3 linked regions of the Bombyx mori genome follow. The main gene of each other region encodes a partner of the protein of the gene in region 3 in a complex. Links are inferred from orthologs where the notes say so. Each region holds a gene or a part of one and is shown on either strand. Other genes may lie near its edges. The genes, in order: regulator of gene activity, ATP-dependent RNA helicase me31b and CCR4-NOT transcription complex subunit 1.

Region 1 (3,842 bases), on a different chromosome or scaffold from region 3:
AACATTGCCCTAAGCACGTCATTACGGATCTCCCGATCTATAAACGGTGCTTTTAGGTACCTTAAGCACCGGCCACCGTCCTCTCTGAACCTGCACAACCCACTGCTTGTGGCGAAGGGCTCAACGAGTAAATTAACCAATAAACACAGCCCACTGAGTTTCTAGTTGGATCTTCTCAGTGGAAGCTGAAATATCTCCCTCTGCTAGCCTCTCAAGGCTATCAGCATAGGTAGGGGAAAAGGATAACATCTTTATGCTACATTTACCGGAAACCTGACTTGTGCCTAGTGAATGCTTAGATTTAATTTAGTTTTGATCTAAAACATAAAACGTTTCTTAAGCAAAAATACCCATCTACTTGGTAAAAGTTCCTCTTAATAATATATAATAGATAAATGACTACACACAATGGACTATAATCATGTAGTGGACATATTTAATAATTTTACAGAGGTATTGTCAAGGAAGTGTGAGACGAAGTTGATGTAGAATAAAATTTATTCAGATTCATGCCTATTTCATTTACAATTTCAAATATTTAAATCGTGTTCCAATTTTATAAGCAGATATAATTTTTATTGCTCTTACATTATCAGTATCTGGTTCGTATTGTGATTTTAGAGTTCATTTATAAGAATAATTTTCACAATTTAAGTATTTTGCACAAGTAATTACAGTATGTTGACACAATGGTTATATTAAACGGAAAAGCAGTTAAATTCTGTGCCAATATGTGCAGAACCTCTGAATACAATGTTTGTTGTAAATCAGAAAATTTGTTATCAAGTTTGAGACAAAAGAGATCAATTTTGTGTGACTCAACTCTATGGAATATGGGCTATAAATATATAATATAAATAAAACTAATATTTAAATCATGGAGTAATCGGTTGTAAAGTAGTTGGAAATGTGAAAGAGAAAGTAGAAGGAATACTTAACTATATATGGAATTGCATGCTGCTTATTATTAATTTAAACTTTGGTTAAGTGTATGCATGACGTATGAGAGAGATGATAGTTGAAGAGCATCACAAAACTGTTTTCAGTTGAGCATATTATACAGTAGAGAGGATATGGAGAATGTATTAAAGATCAGTAAATGGCTTAGTTGCCCCTGTCAAACAATGGCGACAATTTTTGTTGTGATGTTGTTGGGCTCACTTTGAGAACGTTGTCAATATTTACCTATTATCAGTCCTTGTTCAACTATTTTATAAAGAATAAGAATGGTTCATAATCGCGTATACTCTGCCAAGATAAATATTTCCGCTTCGATGTAATAAACAAGATTTGTTGACTGTCCAATTTTGATGTTTTTTGTGCATTCAAAATTTTAAACACCAATATAAATGGTACATAAAACTGTCTTCGCGTAAAACGCTGCTATAAAACACTGTAAACTTGATACATCTTTACGTCACTGATAAATGTTTTAAAATTTTCATACGATTTCGCTGAACGCCACATTACCCTAAACAACAGGCGGCCATATTGTTAAAAGGTTGAAGAAGCAGACGGAAATTATCAAAAAGCTTCAAAACCAGGCCGTATGAATTAGTTTGTTAAAAAATAAAAATAGTTTTGACAATTTTATTAAATAGTTTAAATAGTATAAATCGTTTTGTCTCTTTATTATAGATCTGTCATTTAAAATTTATACTAATATTTTTAAGAATTTACAATAAAATTATTTAATTTACATTACTATACTACCCATACTAGTGCAATCCGTAGCATCGTTACTGTACATAAACCTGTAATACTGTACATAATACTGTGCTTAAACGTGTATTTGAGAGTTTTATAAGACTCTACAGCATAACTATAAGTAGCAAACCTGATCTTCATGAGTTTGGCTACTGTGCCTCGTAGAACTTCGTTTCTTCATTTCTTATCTTTGTTCAGAATTACTTTAAAAAATCTCTAAATTAGGATTAAAACAATTATTTTTTAACTTAAAGCCTTATTTTTTAAATAATCTAAACTTCACAACCATTATTTGAAAATTATAAACTACCCACCTCCCTTGTCTAAAACTAAACTATTCCTGCAAAGTGCCGGAAGCTTGGTGGATCATTCATCTTTCCTAATGATTCCGATAGGTGAACAGATGAATGGATCGGACGGTCTCATTATAATAAAACCCAACCAAAAAATATTTTAAACATAACTGAAAACGAGTTCGAGTCAGACATCTATTATCTTCCCTGAGGTGTTTTCTGTATCACTGTGAATACAACATTTCCGGCAGATTGGATGGCGTCTGAAAGCAATCTACGCACACATTACGTAGACTACAATCTAATGAAATTTAACTAGGTATATATAGCAAATATTTGATTCTTCGTCCTTTTCTAAATCTTACATTAGAAAATGAAAATTTTAAACAAGGAAAATGTATACGGTGTATAAGATTCAGATCTTCACGAATACTTGGATTTAGAAGCGATTCGTTAATATTTGAAGAGAACATCAGAACCTTTCTTTGAGGAAGCTGCACGGCGTAATAGCCCTCTTATCGTAGCCGCCGTAAATTACATTCCCGACCTATATGATGACAACGAACAATCGTCGTTGCCTTATTCGATCCAGGCCTTCGGCCTTCTTCAACCCAGTCTCAAGTACCCTCCACTAGCGTCGTAAAATCGAAGCTTAACTGAGAGTACTGAACCCCTATGACACTCACTGAGTTTCTCATTGAATCTTGATTCTTAACTGGTAGTAGATTCAGCGAAGCCAGAGCAGTGTTAACAATTTCTTTCAGGTAGAGGTCTGTGAGCTCGCCCACCACTGGCGTTGGTACAGATGGGTAGAAAATCGTTAAAAATACATTTTACCTAGTTCAAATTCACAATTTACAACAGCAGTTAAATTGTGGATTTCATTTCAAAACATTAACGAAAATATTTAAGGATCGGGTGCACATTGCTGTTATTGCAGATTTAACAAAGTTTCGACAACGGTCAGAAGACGGTCCTTCGGTGTGCTTAGTGCAAGTTTTTTAACTTCTCAATTGCGTAAAAGATCTCAAATTTGTATGTAGTGGAAACAGTGCCTCTGGCGGCAAACATGGGAACGCTATCTGATTCCAAAAATTTTATAATAGCTAAAAAAAGTTTATTATATCTTATTTACATAAATAGAACAAAATCAAAAAGTTTTTCTGCGTGCTTTATGACTAGCGACCAGAATACGGCCTCTGCCGACCTAGTTCTTATATCCTTTTCACTTACCGACATCGAGCAAAGAAGGATCGAGATGTATATATTGATTCATATTCTGAATATTTCAGAAAAAATTGTCTATGTCTGATCAATACTTTTTGGCAACACTAAGATCATATGATTGTTCAATAAAGAAGCACGTCTGATAGGCGTAGACTTCTTTCCCCGAGCCAGTCATTAATTTTCTGGCTCTATATCGGCCGTTTTTCGTGTTAGTGGTGTTAAAAATAAGCAGCAGCCATGGCGCTCAGCGATGCAGATGTTCAGAAACAGGTATTTGTTATAAACAAAACTGATTTATCTACAAAATCAAGTATTTTAAGGATTATATGTCACGATCATTGATCGGGATGTGCCATTGTAATTTCGACAACTCATAAGACTGCCTCGACTGGACTTCATGTTTTTGAGCATTATACTCCGTATTTTTGATCAGAATGTTTATATTTTTCAATTCAGATCAAGCACATGATGGCCTTCATCGAACAAGAGGCCAACGAAAAGGCCGAAGAAATCGATGCGAAGGCCGAGGAGGAGTTCAACATCGAAAAGGGCCGTCTTGTCCAGCAGCAACGTCTCAAGATTATGGAATACTATGAAAAGAAGGAGAAGCAGGTT
Region 2 (2,581 bases), on a different chromosome or scaffold from region 3:
CAAAGGGTGGAGTTGTTAGCCAAGAAGATAACAGAGTTAGGATATTGTTGCTACTACATCCACGCACGAATGGCACAAGCTCATCGTAATCGTGTGTTTCACGACTTTCGTGCTGGGCTCTGCCGTAACTTAGTGTGTTCAGACTTGTTCACTAGAGGTATTGATGTGCAAGCAGTTAATGTCGTTATCAATTTTGATTTTCCTCGAATGGCAGAGACATATCTTCATCGCATAGGACGCTCTGGACGTTTTGGGCACCTTGGTATTGCTATAAACTTAATCACATATGATGATCGTTTTGCACTACATCGTATCGAACAAGAACTGGGTACTGAAATCAAGCCAATTCCCAAAGTGATAGATCCTGCGCTATATGTAGCGCGTCCGGAAGATGAAGATCTGGGCGACAAGTAACGCCGTGCCGTCTGCGCCGCGTTGATACGTTCGCGCTCTGCGCACGCTTCTAATATCTGGACTTGCTGACTTGTGAATGAAAACAGTTTAACTACAAAAAACTTATTTGTAAAAAGTGAAATGAATTTAATGTAACAAAAAATGTGCGTGTGAATGTAGTTTATCGTGAAATAAGACTTTGACCTCAAAATGGTCACTTTTTTAGTGTACATAAACGTAACATCAAATTTAAGGAAGTATCTTGATGCTTTTTGTTCGTGTTGGACAATGTGCGTTAAGCCACAGAAATAAAAAGAAAATGTTTGTTTTCTGGTAAAGTCTACCTAAATTTGTCCATGATCTCTTCATAAATTGTGGTAGACTTTCATAAATGTATATTATAAATGTCTATCCGTAAAAACATGAAGTTTGAGCCAGCACCGGATTAATTTTTTTTTACAAAAAAAATACACGTTTGGTTACGGATAGGCAATGTAAGTCTGGCTGAAACATCAGAAATTTGGTGGAATTAGAAAAAAAACAGTGTAAAAAAATGTTGTTTCTGACCGCTTGAAACAATGTTAAATAACTTCAAGCCGTTTTCCATGAAAAATGTCATGAAGCAGCTTCAGTTTGATAAACTAATTATTCAGAAGGGTTGCTGTGTTGGTCAAACTGAATGTCTGTTGCAGGCTAACTTTGTGTCCGGTTAGAGTCAAGAACAGCTATTTTAAATATTATTTCGAAAGCGGCTTACATAGTCACAGTAGATGTATGGCATTTGATGTTGATGGGCTAAAGTAATTGAATCGAGAGAATCAAGTTATTCAAACCAATAAGTAAAATGAAAAACTAATAAATAACAATCAAGTTCTACAAAGCCCAACAAAACGAATCTGCCTTTACAAACAAGTAAATATTTTACATTCCTTGAATAATTTGAAATCTGTGACTATTTTAACGAGATTGGGGAATGCACTATTCTGTGACGGCTTGCAGATATATGGTATTCTCCACTCTATTTGGGGGTTATTATTTTGAGAGCTTTCAGTTGTCATTACAATGAAACAAATGTTTTGCTCTCTGGGGATTAAACTTTTCGGGATGTCAAGTGAAGAGTTAAATTTGGTCAGAAAATGGTATCACAACTAAAATTCGGATATATCTTTATTTGAAAAAAAAAGGGTACATACAGTATTTGATTTGGATTATTATTCTTAGTCAATTTTAAATGCACTTAAATGTGAAGTAACAGTATGTACACAGTTTGTTACAATTTGATTGATTGTAATGCAGTGCTTAAAACTTAATGAAAATTCATTGTTGCTGAAAATTATCTGTGATAGAAATTATAAGGTAAAATATGTATGTTCATTGAAATAATCAGAATGGTTTGTGACGTCTTCCGCCTGTAACTGTAACACTATAAGTTAGCAGACTGAAGTTTTAGTGTAGTAACTAACATAATACAATAGAATTCACTGACTAAAGTTATGTTTCGCTTCAGCTTTCTGTTGATATTTTGAAAAGTAAATTTCTGTAAATGTTTATGGAAAAAATGCAGCATATCAATTAGTTCAAGTTGTTATTATTAAAATAAAACCTCACAAGATATATTAAACATATATTATATATATACACAAAAAAGTGATAAAATTGTTGACCAAAAAATAAAACTCTTCACGCCATTGTTCTCTTTTATTAAATATTATATTTTTCCTATTTGCAAGAAGTCCAAGACGCCCTGGAAACGGTCAATACACATATTGTACAAGTTAACAGCTTAAAATTCTTAAAACATTTTTTTATAATTAAATGAATTTCGTACAATTTGGGATTTATAATGTATTAGTAGTTTTATAATAATTTTACTCGGGGTTTCGCTCATATTATAGTCAGAAATAATCTATTATTAATAGACCTCCACAAGGTTATCAATTTATCCCGTCTTTTTTCTGTAGAACTGTGTGCTTAATGCGAGTTTTTTAAAGTTCTAGATAGCGTTAAAGCTAACTCAAATTTGTACCCAGTTGGAACAGCGCCCCTAGCAGCAAACGTTCCAACTCCATACAAATTTCAGTTAACTTTTACGCTAAAAAACGTTAAAAAACTCACTAAGAAGACGTGTATGTTCTCGAGTTTTTATCGCTAATTTGCTTTTCACGTGTGGTGACAAACATTGAAGAAA
Region 3 (3,742 bases):
GATTGTATATCCTTTGGAAGTAACTGTTTGCTTCGTCCTCGATTTCCTTAGCAACGGTGTGCATCACTTCCGGGAAGGGAATGGGATCCTGCAGACGAGGTTTATCAATCGCGGGAGCGGGAGCCATTCTCGCGAGCGCTCCGAGGTTTGCGTTGGGCGGTAACGGCATCATGGCAAACGGACTGTTAGGTCCGCCTCCAAGTAGCCTAACAGGAGAGCCCGGAGTGGTTACGAGTGGTCCGAGTGTACCGGGCATAGCAAATGCAGTATTCGCGGGGGCACCTAAAGTCATATTTGCCATGCCCGGTGCCAAATTACCGATAGCGTCAACGTGGGGTGTAAACAATTGCCCTCCTAGGCCAGCTGGATTGAATTGAGTTTCCATGACCCTTGTATGAGGTCTTGCTATTCCCGCAATGTTTTGTCGTGTTTTGCTGAGTATTAACGTCTGACAGCTTCCTATTACGTTGTAAATAGCCTCCTGTAATTCTTGAGAAACATTTGGAATGCATAGTTGTAAGCAAGCCAACATTGTTGTAATCGTTTCGGGTGGCAGCTGCGCAGCCTTAGGCAATTGTTCTTCGGGTGCCTTGCCGAGCACCTGTGGACATCGCCTTTGTAAAAATTTCACCATAGCCGACACAAACGTCTCACCGTGATCTCTGATTTTGTCGGTCAACCATTTATCTAATTTGAGATACTCCCTCCTAGACGCCAAACAAGCCAAATCAATAACAAACGGGAACGATTGTACATTCAATAAGAGCGACAGCGCCTTTAAATCCTGTGCGACGTCCAAAATTCTAGATAATTTGGATTGGTCACTCTCACCGCGTATGTACCAATCTGCCATTGAGTGCATGATGATAGGTTTTATGTTAGGGTTCTGTGTATGCCAGGCGTGGTGGAGAATTATGCCTGAATTTGGATGATTACCTAGAAATATTGGAATCAGTGTCGTCAATAACTCTTGCCTAAAGACAGTAATCGGTGGACTGATTTGCAGTAAAACTAAGAGCAAAATATCGGGACAATGTTGAAGTGGCATTTTAAAGAGTTCATGGACTTGCATGTAATAACCACGCTCTGCAGCATACAGCAGTAACTCCACTAAGTAGAGGCAACGCCAAGTGCCCACTTCTTTGTTGTCGGTCTCAGGAGGAGATTTCAAAATGTCTATTGATACTGGATGAAAAGGATGATCGGCAAAACAGAATACGTCAGAATGTTTGAGAATGTGGCTGATCAAACTCATCTGTCCTTCCAAATTCGTCCACCGTCGGCATAAATACTCAACGGGGAATATATTGGCCGGATAGCCGGCGCTCTGTAGACCAAGTCTCAGTATGGTGAATAGTAGGGATAGTCCTGTTCGGTCTGGTACAAAGAATTCTGGGTGATCCAGCTGTAGTATCACTTCCTTCCAGTTCAGATTAGATGCTAATTCTTTTAATGTCTGAACAAATACTTCAGCATTCCATTCACTGTGTGGATGTGCAGCTGGTTCTTTTTTAGCTTCATGACTCATCCAAAAGTTGCCTGGTGTCTGTATTTGCGGACCGTCTTGTTGGTTACTGTGATAGCGAACCATCACAGCTATGATTCTAGCCACGTCTATTGCGGTTGGTTCTCTCGCACCAAAGTTTATCATATTGTTCTTGCAATCCTCAACTGAAGTTGTAAAAGCATGGCCCATATCTCGGATAATATCTGGCAGGGAATTCTCCATCATGGCAGCAGCCATATCATCGGCTGAAGTCATTTCCTCGAGAGGTGTCTGAGTGTCGTCCGGATAAATCAACGGTGCGAGTACTATCGGGACTACTTCACGAGGGAAGTCTGATCTCAGTCTCTTCAAAAACAAATCCTTCGTAACTGCCGCTAATTTGATATTGTCGAGCGCGAGACTCGTGAGGAGTGACTGCAACACTTCAGGGCTGCATTCCTGAAGTCCTGCACGCTCCGCCTGATGTCCCCGTTCTGTAAAGCACATATAATTAAATATTTACTTCAAAACTTTAAAAAAACAATAGAAATAAAGCTTGCCTGCGTCGAGATAGCACTGTATTAAATCCAAGAATCTTTTCTTCAAGTGCTGCTTTGCAACTGCAACTATCTCACTCTTTGTTGAATACCTTCTCAGAGCCAATGAAAAGGCAACATCCTCTGCTGTAGTTAACTTCAACAGTCTAGATAGTCGATTCAATAGTGCATTTGTAGGCTTTAATAGCTAAAAAATAAAATTTAAGAATAAAATCACATCACATTTTTCCTATTTCTGAGTTAAGGGTTAACAGACTGACCTTTGTTACAGAGCGTGTTGGATGATCAACAGCCCGGCAAACAACTGTTGATTTAGCTGGATGATTGAGCAAGCCTGCCAACTGTTGTCCAAGAAGGGAGGCGTGGATGCTATTAGTAGCTGCAGAAGTTGTACGGTCTCCGTCCCAAGCTATCCTTGCCGCTTCAGTGAGAAGACATCTTAAAACTTGATTCTCTGCTTCCAAGCCATAGACACTGACAATCTGCAGCAACAAAAGTACTTAATTTAAGATCAAACCAAAGAGAATGCTTGTAGTCAATGAAATAGTATAAAGTATATTCCTAAATTTGATTCACAACACAAACATCAGTTTTATTAAGCTTCATATGTATATGTAATTAATTAAAATGGAAATTGAAAAAATCTTTTACTAGGTAATTCTTGTTCCTACTACTATTGCCAAGAAAATGACAGTTATAAGACTCATCAAACACCATTTTGGCACACATCTCCATATATTTTTAGCAAAATTCAATAGTAATATTGTGTGCCATAATTTAGAATAATGTATTTAAAAGACACATAAGAACTTCAGAATTATTAAACAAAGAAAAATTCTTTATTTATTCATCCATACTTTCAACAGTTTCAATTGATAGATTTCTCATCTCTCACCATACATCAACTTCAATGATTTCATAAATTGGTGCATAAAGCTAAATGTACAATAAGCTGATAACCTCTGGTTGGCAATACATTGACTTGTTAGGCTTTATTAAAATTGACAGTCCCCCAGCAAATGTGAATATGAGATTAAATTGAATGAACACTTCCTACACAATAGTCCTATAGCAAGCATGTAAGTTAATGCATTTTGTTCTTTGCCGATATTAGCAATTATGCCCTTTGCAAATCTACGAAGTCATTATTGAACTACCAACTTATCTCTCACCAAATTACTATGAACTATTATATTACTTGACATAACAGTAGTACAAAATACAATACATACATACATACATACATACATACACACATACATAAATTCTACCAATAAAGTTGTTTACTCAATTTTACAGCAAATGGAAAAACAAATTTATTAATTTCACTTAAATGGCGTCAATACTATCAGAAAACCAACTATCGATACAGATCGACTGCGAATTATCACTGTGTTACTTAGACAGTTTGTTTTTGTGGTGCGTGCAAATGGTATGTGTATGTGCCACACAATTCGTCTCACTATTCATTACACTCCCTGAACATATCATATTACTTAATGGTGCACCACTATTTGAGGTAAGTTCTATTAAGGATCTGGGTGTGTCCATTGATAGTAAACTGTAATTCAGCACTCATATTGAAATTATTATGTACCAGAAAGGGCTCTAAAATAAAACATTGGGATTAACATTTCATAATTTTTGTGAATTTAATAAACTAAATACATACTAAAAAAACAATTTATAACACTCATAT

What was found.
Region 1: the proteins of CCR4-NOT transcription complex subunit 1 (region 3) and regulator of gene activity are in contact, whole or in part, in a crystal structure (PDB 5FU7), measured with the Homo sapiens proteins. The link is inferred for Bombyx mori from reciprocal best matches to the Homo sapiens genes CNOT1 and CNOT2. Residues at the interface, in NP_057368.3 of Homo sapiens: His1864, Ser1865, Ala1866, Ala1867, Arg1870, Asp1871, Gln1917, Pro1921, Ala1923, Pro1925, Ala2003, Tyr2036, Leu2039, Glu2040, Ser2043, Arg2045, Ile2048, Ala2049, Ala2053, His2054, Leu2079, Leu2084, Lys2086, Gln2089, Ile2090, Leu2091, Tyr2092, Lys2093, Gly2094, Leu2096; in NP_001186231.1 of Homo sapiens: Met350, Val351, Asp353, Gln354, Phe355, Gly356, Met357, Ile358, Gly359, Leu360, Leu361, Phe363, Ile364, Arg365, Gly372, Met373, Val374, Leu376, Ala377, Leu378, Gly379, Ser380, Asp381, Leu382, Leu385, Leu387, Asn388, Leu389, Ser391, Glu393.
Region 2: the proteins of CCR4-NOT transcription complex subunit 1 (region 3) and ATP-dependent RNA helicase me31b are in contact, whole or in part, in a crystal structure (PDB 4CRW), measured with the Homo sapiens proteins. The link is inferred for Bombyx mori from reciprocal best matches to the Homo sapiens genes CNOT1 and DDX6. Residues at the interface, in NP_057368.3 of Homo sapiens: Glu1097, Ala1100, Phe1101, Phe1103, Asn1104, Asn1105, Leu1106, Ser1107, Ser1109, Asn1110, Lys1114, Lys1137, Arg1138, Ile1141, Glu1142, Asn1144, Phe1145, Leu1148, Tyr1149; in NP_001244120.1 of Homo sapiens: Phe329, Ser330, Arg331, Leu332, Gln333, Ile334, Asn335, Gln336, Leu357, Gly358, Tyr359, Ser360, Leu384, Arg386, Asn387, Ala402.

The regions. Positions count from the first base shown.
Region 1 is NC_085113.1:7,420,728-7,424,569, forward strand, and holds the start of regulator of gene activity, read right to left. Parts: upstream 2,248-3,842; 5' UTR 1,889-2,247; coding exon 1,838-1,888; intron 1-1,837. UniProt on the Homo sapiens protein: Component of the CCR4-NOT complex which is one of the major cellular mRNA deadenylases and is linked to various cellular processes including bulk mRNA degradation, miRNA-mediated repression, translational repression during translational initiation and general transcription regulation.
Region 2 is NC_085118.1:10,829,589-10,832,169, forward strand, and holds the end of ATP-dependent RNA helicase me31b, read left to right. Parts: coding exon 1-414; 3' UTR 415-2,081; downstream 2,082-2,581.
Region 3 is NC_085107.1:17,968,234-17,971,975, forward strand, and holds part of CCR4-NOT transcription complex subunit 1, read right to left. Parts: intron 2,526-3,742; coding exon 2,304-2,525; intron 2,231-2,303; coding exon 2,047-2,230; intron 1,981-2,046; coding exon 1-1,980.